Arabidopsis thaliana: one gene and its partners. The protein of the gene in region 3 interacts with the protein of the main gene of each other region in a pairwise test. Each region holds a gene or a part of one and is shown on either strand. Other genes may lie near its edges.

What was found.
Region 1: the proteins of AT2G16595 (region 3) and AT1G33080 interact in a protein complementation assay, tested with the Arabidopsis thaliana proteins (one large-scale study listed by BioGRID).
Region 2: the proteins of AT2G16595 (region 3) and AGP16 interact in a protein complementation assay, tested with the Arabidopsis thaliana proteins (one large-scale study listed by BioGRID).

Annotation. Positions count from the first base shown.
Region 1 is NC_003070.9:11,983,389-11,991,563, reverse strand, and holds AT1G33080 (MATE efflux family protein), read right to left. Parts: upstream 5,915-8,175; 5' UTR 5,813-5,914; coding exon 5,540-5,812; intron 4,435-5,539; coding exon 3,893-4,434; intron 2,909-3,892; coding exon 2,822-2,908; intron 2,483-2,821; coding exon 2,426-2,482; intron 2,279-2,425; coding exon 2,040-2,278; intron 1,742-2,039; coding exon 1,623-1,741; intron 1,523-1,622; coding exon 1,436-1,522; coding exon of another isoform or gene 1,367-1,435; exon of another isoform or gene 1,318-1,366; coding exon 1,237-1,317; 3' UTR 1,044-1,236; downstream 1-1,043. Other genes in the region: AT1G33070 (MADS-box family protein), read right to left, coding at 6,265-6,389, 6,483-6,780.
Region 2 is NC_003071.7:19,017,169-19,021,489, reverse strand, and holds AGP16 (arabinogalactan protein 16), read left to right. Parts: upstream 1-2,125; 5' UTR 2,126-2,381; coding exon 2,382-2,496; coding exon of another isoform or gene 2,497-2,555; exon of another isoform or gene 2,556-2,653; coding exon 2,654-2,760; 3' UTR 2,761-3,226; downstream 3,227-4,321. Other genes in the region: AT2G46320 (Mitochondrial substrate carrier family protein), read right to left, coding at 3,470-3,599, 3,673-3,731, 3,867-4,016, 4,108-4,284. UniProt on the Arabidopsis thaliana protein: Proteoglycan that seems to be implicated in diverse developmental roles such as differentiation, cell-cell recognition, embryogenesis and programmed cell death.
Region 3 is NC_003071.7:7,195,744-7,201,176, forward strand, and holds AT2G16595 (Translocon-associated protein (TRAP), alpha subunit), read left to right. Parts: upstream 1-2,383; 5' UTR 2,384-2,619; coding exon 2,620-2,683; intron 2,684-2,789; coding exon 2,790-2,942; intron 2,943-3,021; coding exon 3,022-3,072; intron 3,073-3,157; coding exon 3,158-3,243; intron 3,244-3,661; coding exon 3,662-3,739; intron 3,740-3,827; coding exon 3,828-4,031; intron 4,032-4,115; coding exon 4,116-4,187; intron 4,188-4,295; coding exon 4,296-4,343; 3' UTR 4,344-4,642; downstream 4,643-5,433. Other genes in the region: AT2G16592 (Bifunctional inhibitor/lipid-transfer protein/seed storage 2S albumin superfamily protein), read left to right, coding at 528-833; AT2G16594 (Bifunctional inhibitor/lipid-transfer protein/seed storage 2S albumin superfamily protein), read left to right, coding at 2,031-2,339; ROC3 (rotamase CYP 3), read left to right, coding at 5,119-5,433.

The DNA of each region.
Region 1 (8,175 bases), on a different chromosome or scaffold from region 3:
AGTTTGTGCAATAATATATTATGGATTTATTTAAAGAAATATCCGGTTGAAAAAAAGAAGAAAAAAACCCCCAAAATATATGGAAATTAATATGTATAATTTCTTGTTTAAATATTTCTAAATGAATGGCATAATGATAATTAGTTTAAATTAATTATTTTTAGTTTAATTCATAGTAAATATAAATCTTTGTTATATCTAATCTTGTTTTTTAGAAATTGTGAAATAATTGTTTTCATTTTATATTTCAAAATACTTAACCCAAAATTCTAAAATTAAATTTATTTATCTATCGCAAATTATGATTTTTATTAATGGTATCAAGCAAGTTTTATGATTTTTTAAAAAAAATAAATAAAAATTAACTTCAAAAATGTTAGTTTAATAAAATAGTATAATTGGATATCAAATCTTAGTTTTGCAATTCTTATTGGTTAATAAATTTTAAGAAATAAAGTTTAATTTTTCGTCCATAATTAATAGGAAAGAGAAAGTTATTTTAATTTTGGGAAACTAATAATTACTTTAAAAAATATTACAATTTTTAATTTAAATCTATTAATTTTGTGATTACTATTGTATCCTTAATGAATTTATTTAAAAACACTAACAATCAATGGCATTCTATGTAATATTCTACCCTTCATAAGGTTGTTTATTTACAATACTTCCCAATTAATAGTATAGATTTTGACATTGAAAGAAAAATAGTTTTAAATTTTATACTACATAAAAAAATTTGGTGAATAAAAATTCGGTAGAAGAAATGTTAAAATAAGAAAACAACGTATATTTTGTTTTGAAAAATCATAATAATGAAAAAATAATTCTACCTTTATCTGCAAATCTATAGCATAGCCAAGAAAAATTCGAAACAAAATGCTAACAAAACAAAATGGCTTTGATTTGTTACGACAGCTTTATAATAGTTACACTAGATTTTTGTTGTAGTGCTATTTCTTTCTTCTTTGATCTATATCAGTATTTGTTTACCGTTTTTTCCTCTCAAATTTTTTTCTCTAAGAATGTGCGATAATTGGTTTGCCACTTGAAAGCTCTTAAAGATTCCTAGTTTAGTAGGTGAAAATGATCACTGAGTTAAGGACTGATACTTTAGTGGTCCAAATTCGTTACCACTTGTTTCACATTTACATTTTACGCAAGTGTGTACATTCGAGGGTGAAGTAGAAATTCAAAATTCGAATACAAACTCAAGTTTTACTTCAATCTTCACCATCATTCGTTTTGTAAAGTTTGGTTTCGACTTGGGGATTCTGGTTCAACCCAACGGTTCAAACGTTTCAACGACGAAGACACCTGCATTATTTATAACAATAAGGAGTAATGTATATATACAAGTCAGTTCTTATATTATAACCAAAAAAAAATACTTATAATTTTCTACTAAAAATCCAATAATATTCGATTTGCAAACCTGTTGATCCCAGTCTGTTCTCATAGTCATTACTGTAAGCACGCAAGTCTGAACGAAGATTCCGAAAATCATTCCTAACCAAACACCCTAAATTTTATATTTAAAAAAAAACTATTTTATATTTGTATATACAAAATTAAATTAAAAAACTAAAAAGAAAATATTAATAATAAAAATTGAGACTTACTTTGACTTGTAAACCAACGACATAGCCAAGAAAAAGACCGGAAGGAATTCCAACAAGGTAATAGCAAGCAAGGTTAACGACCGTAACATATTTCTGCCATCCCGCTCCAACAGCAACTCCTGTACCCATTTATAAATAAGTTCAACATGTTGTCTAGGGTTATAAACAAACTCATTCGTCACGTATTCATCATATAATGATAAATTGGTAACTCATTATACGTGAAAGTGACTGGATAGTGGATATATATCACACAAAACCCTTTCTACGTAAAAACCTATAATAACCAATTTCACATATTCAGTCAATGCATGAATATAGAGTGATCATTGAAAAATGAATCCCTACAACGTTCGATGAATTAATGTCTTATATATGGTAAACAATATAGGAGTATCGAAAAGGCAAGATACATACCAGAGAGAACTGGTTGAATACTGTTCAAGAGAATGGAGAAGGCCAAGAGTGGAGAAAGATCGGCTACTTGTGTGGCAACAGCTTCACTTGTTGTAAAAATGTATGAAACCCTTTCTCTTAAAAACAGGAAGATAAAGAAGAAGATGATTCCTATCGAAAGTGATGTCGAAACCACAACCATTGTTGCAAATTTGGCTCCATTAGAATTCCCACTCCCGATCTCGTTTGAAACTCTTACACTATTACAAAACATTATTACAAAATAAAATAAAAATATGAAGATGATTATAAGATATTTAAATAAAGCATGTGTAATCAAATATTTAGAATGACTTAATCAAGAAGAATATAATCAAATATATCTAGTATATACAATATATACGCACCTTGCTGCTGCCATGAAGCCGAAGGCTACCATCATCTCCAGTGCATTTATATTGATGCTGCGAAAATTATAACATATAATATTGAATCTAAGTGCCTATGATCAATCGCAAAAGCATTATGCTATTCCGCGGCTACCAATTAGCTAGAGAGTATAAGTACAATTGGTAACCTAAACCTATCATTTTCTCTAGCATCAATGTATATTGTTATGTAGACAATAAAACCAATTCTTTCTGTTTTCCTACGAACAATGTTCGTCAGTAGTGTTCCGTATGAAGTCAAAAATGGTAAAATGTCAGTAGCATTCAGACGAATGATCTAAAGATAATGTACAAATCGATCGTATGAATATAGCTTCAAAGACAAAAGACATAAAACTGATAAAAATACTTTACCAGATTGCAAGTGCGTTAAGAGCAACCTCAGCGTTTTTCAAGTTTCCCGTGAGCAGAATCAAGATCGAGTTGTACCATAGCTCCAAGCTGCCAAAAATTAATATCACCAAGCAAGTGCTATTATATATTATCATAATATATGTGTATATATATATATATTAATCATAGTAATATTATAACAATAATATTAATACTATTATAGTAATAATATTATTATACAAATACATAAACACGAAATTTTTCTCTATAACATTTATTCAAAATTTCTCAACCTTTGAGAAAATGAATGAATGTACTTGGCAGCTTTTCACCCAACGTGGCATTATATATAAATTAGGTGATCACCCGCGCTACGCCGCGGTTTTTTCGGAATTTTTCGTATTGTTTAGTTTAAATATAATTTTTATTTATCTAATTATTTATTCATGCAATAAGCAATTATTTTTAGTTTCAAGAATATTTTTTCTAACAACATTCTCAACAATGCATCATACATATAATTCATAAATAACGTTTGTATTAAACCAACTTAACAGAGGGTAGTTTTGGATTCTAGAAACCTAAGAATTTGATGATGGAGCTCCTTACGTATTCTTCACTCTCAGTGATTTATTGTATAAATATCAATTTAAGAGAATATAAATATCAATTTAAGAGAATAACTTACTCAAATCATTAAGTAATCTAAGACTATTATATAATCGTATTTTGAGTTTGGATTACAAAAAAAAATCTTCGAGTATGAGAAAACTATTAAAATTGTTTTATTGAAAAATCATGTAATATTAAAATAAATTTAGTAATACTATAATTAAATATGTAAAATTAAATAATAAATATATCATTAACCTATAAATTAGAAGTTGAAGAGCTTACATTAATTACTTAGTAGACACATGGCAAATGCTAAAGTGATGATGTGTTAATCATTTGGAGAGAGTTGGTCAACTTTTCATATATATGATTACAACCACATGGTCTACAAAAGTATTTGTATGACTAGTAAATATATACTTATGTCGTTGATGGATGTTGATACTTTTACCAGGTGAGAAGATTAGAAAATCATACCAAATCATGCCACCGGAAGATACAGATAGTTTAAAAACGGGCCAAAGATCCTTGAAAGCCAACCAAGAGAATCCTCTCCACGTTTCCGTACATCCACCGCATGTGACAAATAAAACCTGCGCAATGTTAGGCAACCAATGTGCTACGAGCGAAGAGGTCATGGCACCAGCGATCCCGAAATCAAAATGAACCACTAGAAGCCACGACAAGAAGACATGGACTCCTAACGAAACAGCAGCAACGTAGGCGATGATCTTGTTCTTACTCTGAGCTTGGAGGAACATTTGGCAAGTGAAGGAAGGCACAAAGGAGATGTTGATGCCTATGACCCATAGAGCTATGATCCGAGCCACACGAACAAGGCGTTCCTCTTGACCTAAAGCCAAGAGAATAGGGCCTGCAAAGATGTAGATGGGCATAAGGCAAATGGTACAGCCTGTGAGGACGATCCATGATCTTTGGAGGTAGATCCCAAGCATATGATATTGTTTTGCTCCATAGGCTTGACCACATAGTGTTTCTAGCGCACTAGCCATGCCTAACTGCATATTGTTTCATTGACGGTTCGTTATTACACCAAAAAAAAACTATTTTATGGTTAAATATTTTACATATTTTGCCTATAAAACAAGAACTAAGTAGGTTTGATAAACGCTTATATATAAACAACTATAATATTTAAACTTTAAACTTGGATATTGCATGTTGATAACTAAAAAATGTATATAACCTATAAACTCTTGTTGGTAAAGAGATCATATATTGTGTATTGAATTTTTTTGGTGTAACTGAATATATGTCCAATGGTCTAATAACATTTTAAAAGCACTATTTCATATTATAAATTCGAACCTCACACATGATATGCTAATTAAAGACCAAAACATTAAGAAAACGATGGCATTGGCAGGTGACCATTGGACATTTGTGGCCAATGACTCGCTATACTTCTTGACAATGTTATCTTTGTTGCACTATGGAGTACAAATAAGAAAAGGGAATATATTGTCTTAATATAAATTAATCTTCTGACTATTCCTTTATTTTTTTTGTCATTTCTTACAATATTTTTTTTTCACTTTTTATAAAATCAATATATTCTCCAACTTTTTTTTGGTTAAAGGTGTTTGTTATATTCTCCAACTTTCTAAACTTTATTCTATTTTGTATTTACCCACTGATTCTACTTAACAATGAAATGTTTTTGTTGCATTTCCAACCATTAATAATAATTGATGTAATAATCAAAACTCATGGAGTTTCAGTTGAGACTTGTTTATGTGAAAAAGGTAACTACACTAACAATAAACGAAGAGTATACGACCAACAATGCCTTCCAAACATTCAATATCTTATATACATAGAAATAGCATAATTTCATTTCATAAAGGCAAAGAGTTGAGTGGTTGTGAATTTTTATGATTGGTTGACAAATCAACCAAAACAAGTTCCCACAAGAAGTCTATCTAAGCATTCACGTCACCGTTTATATAGTACGATTTATATCATTCAAACTAATCAGAACAATCCTTAACATATATTAATAGTTATTAAAACAAAAAAAAATTGTTTTTATGTTTTACGAATTTGTAGTAAAGAGTGTGTGGAAGAACTGATCTAATCGTTATAGACTTATAGTAAACTCACCAAGATACCATTACTAAAACGGAGGAGAACGGTGAGAGTGATGGAGTAAGCGGCCAACTCGGTAGAGCCAAGATGGCCAATGAAAGCTTGACTTATCAAAGATAGTCCGGACGTGGAGAACCTCGTAAAGATCGCCGGCCCAGCCACAACCCATAGCTTTTTAGATTCCCTCCAAACCTTCTCCTTCATCCCTAACCCATCCCGATCTTCTCCGCGATTCTCCGTCGACTTTTTCAGAAGGGTCTCCGTCACTTCTCCTTCTCTTCTCGCCATAGCTTAGGAGAGAATGAAGAGAGAGTAGAGAAGGCATGGAGCGAGGAGAGATTTTTGTTTGGTGGGTTGTTTATTTACGTACGGAGGAAATGAAAAGCCGGCCTACACCTCTTTTTAAGATTCTTTAATTTGCCAAATTGGTATTTTATATGCAAAATGAATACTTTTCATAAATAAATTTTAAATAAAATTTAAAATTTGTCAAAATTACATTTACATTTATACATTGCATACCGAAAAAGACATAGCTAGTTTTGAACAAATCACCCAAAAAATGGGATGAGATAGTCGAAATATATATCACAGCGAGGTATGGCCTCTACAAATATTTTACCAAAAGTTGGTGTTTGAATAGACACATCTTTTATAACCAAACCAAATCCAATTAATTGTTGTAAGAGTTTAAGGTTTTTTGAAACGAACAAAACAAAAATGCAAACTATTGAAACACATCACACATCGGTGGTGGGGGTGGTGTTGTTGTTGGAAGGCATGTGACCGGTGGTAGTAAGACCAACGGTTGGTGTTTGGTGGTAGTTGTAGTAGTTTCCGTTCATGAAAAGGATGTGCGCATGCTCTCCAACATAACCCACTTGTTGATAAGGATATTCCATCAACATATTCATGAGTGGATCATGTTGAAACGGATACTAATGATTTGGATCCAAACTGAAATTATCATAGATTTCATGTTGGTATTGAATATGATAACTAAGACCAATAGGGATATAGAGCTGAATCGGCTCATACTGATTCTGATCCATCGGAAGATCGGCACCCGCAACAGGAAGAGGAGCTGCACCCGCACCCGCAACTGAAGTATGAAGTAGAGGAGGAACGGAAGAAGAAGACTCACCATTGTTTGTAAGGATCTTGACCCTGGAATTAAGCTGATTGATATAGTGATCAATATGAAAACTTAAATCTTGAAGGTCCCTTGCACCATACTGATGCTCACTTATCTTACCCTCAACACAATCAAACATAAAATGTGTAAGCTGAGTTTCTCGGTTTTCAAGACGTAGACGCTCCAGTTTCTTTGTTTCTTTGGTAATTTGGTTCTACAAGTAGGTCTCATGACTCATCATCAGCTTGGACCGTTCTATCGCCGGCCTTTTAATAAACATTAAAACCGCCTCTTAAACACCTTCGGTTGACGACCACACCACTGGATTCTCGTACGGACTGTAGGTTACCACACATGCTTTGACTTCGCAGAGAGTTGTCAACTCATGGAGTTTCTTCGTTATCCGTCCCTTCCTCATGGGCATGCTTGTGTTAGTTAGTTTCGACACTTCTTCCCCTATCAAGCTTACTGCAGTTCGTGTCTCTATGTTTGAGTTATGTATGGTTAAGCTTTTCAATTTTCGAACTTGTTACTCGGATTTCTCCGATGAAGCCTAATCTTCATGTATCTTTCTAATTTCAATTTATAAATTATGAGCACACAAAAAAAAAACCTTGAGAAAAAGTTGTGGAATTGTTTTGTTTTTCTGCATATAATTTACCAAATAAATAATTGAGCAAAACTTGAAAAAAACTTGAGAGAAACTTAGGAAAGTAGTCACAGCATTTAGTTATATATTTTTTATAAAGGTTTTCAATGATGTTATTTTTGTTATGTTTTTAATAAATTATGTATACTTTAATATTGTAAATCAAAATTTTCACAATTGGTTTCGTTAGTTTGCGTTTTGATTACAAAAAAAAAGAAAGATTAGTTAAGTTTTGTTAAAAATCACCAAAATATATAATAATTATGATTGATAAAACTTTTAAATATATTAATTTAAATTTGTACTAAAATCTACATTAACGTTTTATGAGTTACAGTTGACATTTTGGATCATTTTAAGAGTTTTTAGATAATGTTATTAACTTAAGAACATATGTTATATTCGTGTTTTAGGTAACCTGATTATATGTGAAATATAATAACTTTGAATTTCATCAAAATTCAACCTTATTTCTTATAAATCAGAAATATTCATAATATTTTGTGTTATTTTATTAAATAATAGTATTGTAGATACTTTATGTGCTGGAAACAAAATAATTATTAAATAAAGATATTGTAATAAATTACAAAATTTACTGAATTATTATTTGAAATATGAAATTTGATTGTGTATTATGTAATGTAATATACTTTTCTATTGTAAATAAAAAATCTTTTTCTTTTTGAAAAGTCAAAAAGCAGAGTAAAGTAGAAGATTTAATTCCTCTACATATAGCAAAAGAAAAAGTTTTCTTCTAAAATGACGTACGTTTACTTTTTTCTTCTTTTTATTTCTCTCGTCATAAATATAAATATATATTTATCAATATTAAAACTCTTTTAAAATCCCTTATAAATCTTTTAA
Region 2 (4,321 bases), about 12 Mb from region 3:
GAACATTTTCTGATATCTCTATACTAATATTGTAAAATGCTAAAGATGATTTGATTATTCTGATGAAATATTGGTAACTTTGACCAGTAGTTGACGAAACATTGGTAATCGAATTGGAACCAAAAGAGGCAAGTTGGGTTCACAGGGCACATGGTTGCTTCAAACAATCCCATTACTCCATCCTTTTCATTGTCCCTCTATTTTAGGCTCTTTGTGCTCATCTCTATTTTCTTTCTTTGATCAAAATTATTATACCACAAGACTTTTTTTTGTGCTTAAATTTTAGTCGTCATATACGACAATTTTTTATATACGAAGTTTATTATTATTAACATCAATTGATTATTCATATATTTTTAATCAAGTGGCCTTTTTAATAACTCTCTATTCTTTTGACGTAAGAACAAATAGTAACTTTTATTTGTAGAATATTCATTCTAAGAAATTAATACGTAAATACATATATTTCTCACCCGTGAAACACCACCAGTCGAGTAACGTGATTGAAGATATGTTTAAAAAAAAAAAAAACATGATTGAAGATATGAGAGAGCAAGAGTCAGTGAACTATTTTGGCCGCACACATGTGACACATATATATATGTGTATTATTCCTTTTGGATTTACTACATTCATTCTGATTTCTGAACCATTAGTAACCCTTGAAAAGTAAAAGCTGATAACGTTTTAGGATTTGCAAATTTGAAAAAAGATGACCCTACATTATTTCCAACTGCAACATGCACGTTCCTGTTATGTTAAAAGATATTATTATAGTATATATATTTTGAAACATAAAATGATTGATGTAACTGATCCAACGGCTAATTCCTCTTACTAGTTAGTGAATTAGCCACCTAATAAAGATTACATGAATCATTAAATAACAAATATAATAACTATACAACAAATAATTCATATTGTCGTACATTCAACAACCGAGGTACTCCAAATTAAAAAAGAAGTCAAGCACACTCATATATATTTTAATTTTTAACTGATAACCTTGAAAGAAAAAGAAAAAGGATATGGAATAGAATGGTAAAATCAATCAATCTGCCATGGTTATGAATCAAAAACCATAGAAAAATCGTTATTTACTGTTTAGTATTATAAATAGTGTCAAGTTAAAAAGTTTTTAATATTGTAAAATACACTCTACCTAAACAAAACAGCATATGTAAGATAACATCATCACGATAAATTGTTTTATTCTGACACCACATGTGAGATAGATAGGAAAATCTTTAGTATTTAAAAAATCAAAATGTTGGCAGATTAACCGATAATCACGCAGATTAACACCTACTGAGATAGCCGTTAAATAAATTAATCGACATAGCAGAAACAAATAATTGAGTATCAATAAAAAAAAGGAATAATAGAGAGAGAGAGAGACTGACTAATGAGTCACATATGACGAATGAGTCCAGTTTGGCTGCCAGTCTGTCAGCCCCTACCATTACACCACCTCTAAAGATTTGTATTTTATCATAATCCAACCAAACAATGCTTACAAAAAAAAGATAATCACATCACATCACATGGCCTTCTTCGTCGCTGTAACGTTTAATTAAACTAGCCGCCAATTTCTTTTAAAGATTTTTTTGTTTTGTTTTTGGGCTTATGTTTAAACCATATAATCCATAACTTCATTTCTATTGCTATTTTTGAATTTACCCTATAAAGCTACCAATATTGAATTTTTGTAATTCATTTAAGTTTATTACATAAATAATTTATTTACTTATATGATTATAATTTTTTTTATCGGCTATATGATTGTAATTTAGATCAGTACCTAATCAAGTTTCTATCTTTTTCTATCCGTTGACAGAAAAAAGAAAACAATTTTCTATCAACAATTCACAAATCAAATTGGATTAGAGATACAACAACTTTAGTCAAAATTCTAACACAACAATTCATACTTTTGATCATTCAAACATGATTTTATTTTTTATTTATCTAGAAACATAGTAATGTCAATTTTGACAATTATTCATTCAAAAAAAAATGTCAATTTTGACAAGAAAACTAGGAAAAAAAAGAACAATAGAGGAATGGTCAAAAAAGAATAAAAGAAAATTCGAGGAAAATCATGCTTCTTAGAAGTTTTTTGTTTAATTAGCTTGACTAGTAAATAGATTTGACCGGATAAATAACCGGTTGAAACCGGTAACCTTTAACCGGTCTTCATACTATAAGAACACCTTAAACAAGTCGTCTCCTTCCACTTCTTGCTTTATTCCTCTCATACCGTTTTCTCTCTCTCCTCCGTCGTCTCTGCAGAATCACTCTCTCGCCGGAGTTTTTCACCTGCAGAGCTCTCGATTTTTTCTCTCGAGCATCATCATTTTCGTCGGATCAATCACCAAGAGATGGCGTCGAGAAACTCCGTCACCGGATTCGCGTTGTTCAGTTTTGTATTCGCCGTCATCTTATCTCTCGCCGGCGCTCAATCCCTGGCTCCAGCTCCTGCTCCCACCAGCGATGGTAAGCCTCTCTACTTCTCTCTCTCTCTTCTTCCACGATATTCGCATTTCCAGATCTGAATCGAGACTCTCTCCGCGTGAAATCTGGAAACAGTCGAATTGGATTACGAATTCGTTTCTCTCTGACATTTGAAAATGGTGTGTTTTGGAAATGGCAGGAACATCGATAGATCAAGGGATAGCGTATTTGCTAATGGTGGTGGCGTTAGTGCTGACTTACCTAATTCATCCTCTTGATGCTTCTTCTTCCTACTCCTTCTTCTAATCTCTCTCTCTCTTTCTTCTGTTTTTTTTTATTTCTTTGCAACTTCTTATTAGTTTCTTCAATTTGCCTTTTTTCTTCTTCTTGTGGATAAAATTTTCAAGAGTTAATTTCATCATCATGTTCTCGATTATGATTTCTGGAGATTGATTGATTGATGATAATCTCTACTGTTTGTTCTTTTTTGTTTATTCTCTTCCATATTAAATTTATTCTTCTTCCCTTATAATATTTGTGTAAATGTCATCATTTAGCTTAAATTACCAGATATTTGACAATTACCAACTTTATTGGCCTCACAAAAGAAATCTCTGACCAGTTCAGAAGCAGGATATGAAAGCCAGAAAATTTGCTCAACTCTTTTGAATTCGATTCTCAAAGTCTTATCTTCAGATTACAATTTCTCATGAAAAAGTTTATAAATCACGGAATTGTATATATGCCATTTCACATGTCATTTATAAATCACACCCTTGATCAGCATGCATGGAGTTAATTTCTTGCCATAAGAATCTCGTGTTAATTTACTTGTTCTTACAAAAAATATTAAAACGAAAAACAAATGCAACAACTTGCATAAATAATATTCCTTCTTGACAAAAAAAAATCAAGTTTTGCCGTAAGCACCTAATACGGTAACCTTTATTGGATTAGACGCGCAAGTGTGTTCTTTTTAGCTTCGCATCAAAACAAAATCTGTCTAGTATAAGTGTTACTGTTGGTGGAAGTTGTGCAGTCCGTACTTGACCACTTCGTAAAACGATACCACAATGGCTACAGATGGTCCTGCTCGTCCCACTCTAGCCCCTGCTCCACTAAACATCCCTCTCATCCCTCCGTCCCTATACCAAAAACCCGACCGGGATGGTTAAGTTTGGAAACACGAAAATTGTCTAATGGATCTCTAACTCATACCTCCAAATCTCTGCCAAGGTTTGTCTTGTGGTCATTGTCATGGCTCTATCTGTGTTCTTCTGCATAATCCAAACAAATTTAACTGTTACTTGGTTTAAGATCCAAAACTTACTTAATGCAAGCTGGCGATGAATTCTAGTTTGTAGAGCAACACAGTGGAATTATGAAAGATGAAGTGAAAAAGGTATGTTTACCTCTATTTGACGCCTAGTCTTTGCAACATCTAGAGGGCAAGTAGCTGCTGCAGCAACTGCACCCGCAACAAAACCAGCAGCGAAGTTTGCACCTATTATACTGCCTGCCCTTGGTTCTTCACCCATGGCCGACTGAATGCTTCTCCGGGTCTAAAGTCACAATGAAACAATCGTGAGGACATGGATGGAAGACACAATGGGTGAATATGGATGTGTTTTTCAGAGACAGATTACTACTCACAGGCTCAAGTATCGACCAGCAGATTGCAGAGAATGGAACATCCCTAGCAAGTTGAGCACCAAGACCAGTCCATAACATCCTATATCCATTATTTGAGCCCTTCACTGGATTGACGACGTCAACTAATGTCTTCCAAACGCCAGGCAGTTTCACATTTCTTTGCGTTCCCTTAAATGCCTGTTAGTAAAACACAAGAATCGATATCCATTGGTTC
Region 3 (5,433 bases):
ATTTCTCTACGTTAACACCATTGGTGTTTCTTACAAGGCCATTCATATGAATCTACTTGCTTAGACCTAATTACATGGGCTAATATTATGGACTTGTCTCATAGGAATCTACTTGCTTAGACCTAATTACATGGGCTATTTGAGATTTTGCATTTTGTTGTAGAATTTTCTCTCTAGTTGTGATATACTTCACTATGTATATATTGACTCACCTCTGGTCATCCAAGTCCATACTAGTTTATACTTTCATTTTCATATCTTAGTAATTCGGATCCTATATCTAGAAGATAGATGGGCAACTGACAACACGTCACGATTGACGAGGTCCTTAATGAATCCAACACCACATAATTAAAGAGAGCTAACATTAGGATAACCATCCTCTCTTCTTTCCGACTTCCATATTTTCTTGTTTTTTTCAATTCTCTATTTAGAGACAATATAATTAAGAAGAAAATGAAGACTATTTCTACAAAGTAAACTCATCTTGTTTTGATTGTAATTTCAAGTTACTAATTCATCAGATCATGAAGACCATTCCATTGATATTCATCGCCACCATCATAATCTTGACATCATTTCCAGCCACGATCAAAGTCGTCGGTGCCAAAAAAGATCTACCATTTTGCAATGTGGAGCTTCTACCTTGCGTCCTACCTTTTAAAGTTCGTGGTCACGGAAGCAAACTGCCTAATGGCTGTTGTGAGAAAATGAAAAAGTCAACATCATGTATGTGTAGATTCCTAATGGCCAAGGAACGTGACCTGAACGCAGCTGCTCATAGAATATTCTGGTTTTGCAAAATTTCCGTCCCTAATTGTCCAAAAATCTAGAGATATAGGTTATGGTTTTTTCTTAATTTATTTTATACATAAGTTATGTTCCTCGACTATATCTACGACATGATTGATTGAAGCTCGAGAGACACAAGTTGAGCTTCAATACACAACCATTTAAGAAACATATAACCATTTAAGCGAAAATTATTATTAATACTTTATCCACCTTTGTAACTAACACACAGAAACATGATCCTGTGACATTTTACGTGTTCCAGATATCACTTGATCCTGTGACTTTTTAGCATTTTCCAGGGTACCTTAAAAGTCGAGTTATCGATCTCTGCTAGTAATATCTGTTTCTAAATTGACAAGTGAAAACGAAGTCGTTTCGTCAACACCAAAAGCATTAAACACGTCAAAAAGACAAAACCACCTTTGTCTTCTTGCGTTCTTCGCCCTCAACCCACCACTATCAATTTAAGACCAATCTGAAAACCATCATGACGACAAGGATCATACATTTTTTCTTTGCTTTCCTTCTCCTTGCCTCACTTTTCCTCAAAGGCAGTATTCTAAAATACATTCGTACATATATACGATGTTGTGAGAAGCCGTACAGTTGTATAACACAACTAAAGTAGCAATCTATTTGTTAAATTTTATGGTGAGTGTGGATTCATTCAAAACTTCCATCCCCATCACTACCTTCATCCATCCGACCATTCAAGCTTCGAACCTTAGATTCTGTGGATCAAACCATTGGTGGATATCCCGTGGCTGCCTCAATTCTATTCTACTTTCCATTCAAGATGGTTCAAAGTTCTACTTCAAGCAGATATTTTGTGAATGGATTTAAGTTATTATTCCTGTCTATTTGAGTTTTGTAGAATTTGCTTTCTAGTATACATACTTCACCATGTATTATAATTGACTCAACTTTGGTCATCCAAGTCTATACTAGTTTATACTTTCATATGGTATAGTTCGGGACCGAACATGGGGTCCTATATCTAGGAGATAGTGGAGCAGCTGACGACACGTGACGAGCTCCTTAATGAATAAAACTCCACATAAACAGAGCTAACAATAGGACAACCATCCTTCCATCTCTCCGACTTCCCATATTGTTTTGTTTCTCAATTTTCTATTTAAAGACATCTAAAAAATGAAGAAAACAAAGATTATTAATTTCTACAAAGTAAACTCATCTTATTTTGATTGTAATTTCGAGTTACTAATACATTAGCAATGAAGATCAGTCCATGGATACTCATAGCCATCATCATGATGATCTTAGCATCATTTCCTTCTCCGATCAAAGTCGTTGGTGCAAAAAAAGAGCTACCATTTTGCAATCTGGATCTTCTAGCTTGCGTCCAACCTTTTCTAGTTAACGGTCACGGAGGCAAACTGCCTAAAGGCTGTTGTGAGAAAATGAAAAAGTCAACATCATGCATGTGTAGATTCCTTACGGCCAAGGAACAGAATCTAAACGCAGCTGCTCATAGAATATTCTGGTTTTGCCATATTTCTGTCCCCAATTGTCCAAAAATATAGGGGTTATAGGTTATGTTCCTCGGCCATAATTATGACACTTTGTACTAAAATGTTATAACACCTATGGGCAAGGTGTTTCTAAATTGGTAAGTCGGAAAACGACGTCGTTTACAAAATCCGATCTGCACACACACTCACATTCATATGTCGTTCTTCGTCAACGTCGGTGAAGAAAGCATAAACACGTCAAAAGACAAAAGCACCTCTGTCTTCTTGCTTTCTTCGCCCTTTTACTTCAACCCACGAAGATCAATTCAACTAAACCAATCTCAAAACCATCATGAGGACAAGTTTTAGACTTCTCTTCTTCGCTTTCCTTCTACTTGTCTCACCTTTTCTCAAAGGTAACACCTTTCTCTTCTACTTGTTCATTCATTTGCTGATTCTACTCTGTTTTTGTTCACATGATCTTTGTTTGAATTCATTGTGATGGGTTTTGTTTGTTTTTAGTTGCTTTGTGCCAATCGGATTCGGAAGATTCTGGCTTCGAAGTTTCTGATGTTGGTGAAGAAGAGAGTGATGCAGAGGAAGTTTTTGGTTTGGAACTTACCTCAGCTCCTGGAATTGAAACCCTTTGCGTTTTCCCCAAGAACAGTGCAAAAAGTACAGATTTTTACTCTGTTTTTAATCTAATTTCTGAAATTAGGCTTCTTCTCAATTTGGTTTGTCTGATTTTCTGTAGTAATAAAAGCTGGAGTTGAGACTGAGCTGCTTGTTGGAATGAAAAATGATGGTAATGAAAGTGATTTTTCTATCAAATGATTACTTGCAAAGTTAGCTATAAAGTTTCTAACTTTGTGGTTGGGTTATATGAATAGGTCAATCCAATGTAGATATTGTTGCTGTTAAAGGCAGTTTACATCTTCCTTTTGATCAAAATGCTGTTCAGAATCTCACTGCTCTGGTAATTAATCATCTTTTGCTTCTTCTCACATTTATTGCTTGTGTGATCTCACTTGTCTTTCCATATTAGTTTTTCCCTTTGTTAGGTTCTTTTCATTGCCTGTTTTGTCTCATCTCATGTTACTCCACACTATGCACTCTTTGTTAGGTCATTCATGGTTTAGTAACAATACCTGAACTTGTTACATCCCTGTATCTAAATGCAAGAAAGTCTCTCTCTAGCCTTTAATCTTTATCATTTATGTTTTGATACCAGATACTTGCTTTGGCTCTAGCTATATTCCATTTCATTTCTAGATATAGAATCTTACAATGGCTTTTGCTGAATATAGAGTTTTCTCCTCTTTTCCTTTTCTGGCCTTTGCTCTTTAAGTTTGCTACTTATTATTTGGTCATTTTGTCGAATCATCTAAATGTAGAGTTTCAGCAACGCGTCTGTGCCAACTTCCGCTCAAGCTACCTTGCCATATGCTTTTGCTGTCAGCAAGTTCCTGCAGGTATGTTTGTTAATCATATAGTTCTTCTAGTCTCCAAGATGACATTAAAATATAGAATAGAATCCGAGGTAACCATTTGCTCGTGCAGGCGGGTGCTTTTGATTTTGTTGGCACCATCATCTATGAGATAGATGGTAAGCCATACCAAAGCATCTTTTATAATGGAACTATTGAAGTTGTTGAAGATGGTCCTCTCTTCAGAATGGAGTCAGTCTTCCTTAGTGGTCTTTTAATCTTTGTTATCGCTTTTCTCGCCATCTATATCCAAAATGTTTTGAAGCATATGACCAAGGTACATCCTATTTCGCTATCTTATCGCACTTTCATTCCATGGTACTAACTTTGAGAATGGTTACTGTGAAAATGCTTTGCGCAGAAAACAAAGAGAGCACCAAAAGTTGAAGTTGGAACCGCAACTAAAGATGCTTCGCATGATGAATGGCTTGAGGTATTCGTTGCACAAGACCTAATAACTTTCTCCATAATGGGTTTTAACTTTTAATGTATTGAACATTTTGGTATTGATACATTGCTCTCAATGTATTGTGTAATGCAGGGTACTTCGTACACTCAATCTTCGAGTAAGTCAAAGAAGAAGAAGTAGATCTCACACGCTTTGTTAGGGGGCTTGAGATAAGAAACCGAAAACACACGAACGATAGTAACGTTGCAGTTGTTGGTAGAGATAACTTCACAGAATCTGTAATGCTTTCTTTACTCTCTCTAGCTATAGATGTTGCAAGGAAACAATTTTCTTTAACTTTTGTAATTTGTCAAGATTATTTTCTTTTGTTTAAAATGATAATTCTCTTTCGAAAGTTCATGTATATAGTAAAGAAAAGTTGAATAATCATTAGATTAACAATATAGGTTGAAATTTTGTATTTGGAAATTATATCGTATAATCCAAGGTTTAAAATATGAGAGTTGTGTCATTAGACTATTATGATGCTCTATGAAGCTAATCCTCTCAGTCTCTACAATTATTTAAGAGTGGTTTGGGCTAAGTACATGTACATTATCGGAACTCTTATTTATCTCCAAACCAATGGGCTTCTTTTTACGACATTGGGCTTAATATTCCTGGCCCGTAAATAAATCAATGAAACGACTACTTAATATCTTATCCAGTAAAAAGGTAGAGAAAAAAAAAACACAATATTCTCTCTCTGCCTCGGATCCACGCAACTATTAACCCTAGTTAGATTCAACACTAACCACAGTTAACACGAACCCTTTCAATCTTCCTCCACGTGTCAAAATCAACGGTCACAAAAATCATTTCCTTCTCTTTATAAAACACTACCAAAACCCTAATCTCTTTCACACAATCACAGAACCTAATCTTCTTCTCCAATCAATCTCAGAGAAAAAAAGAAATGGCAACAAACCCTAAAGTCTACTTCGACATGACCGTCGGTGGCAAATCCGCCGGTCGTATCGTGATGGAGCTTTACGCCGACACAACACCAGAAACCGCCGAGAATTTCAGAGCACTCTGTACCGGAGAGAGAGGAATCGGTAAACAAGGTAAGCCATTACACTACAAAGGATCAAGCTTTCACCGAGTGATTCCGAAATTCATGTGTCAAGGAGGTGATTTCACAGCCGGGAATGGTACCGGAGGTGAATCTATCTATGGATCGAAGTTCAAAGACGAGAACTTTATCAAGAAACATACAGGACCAGGTATT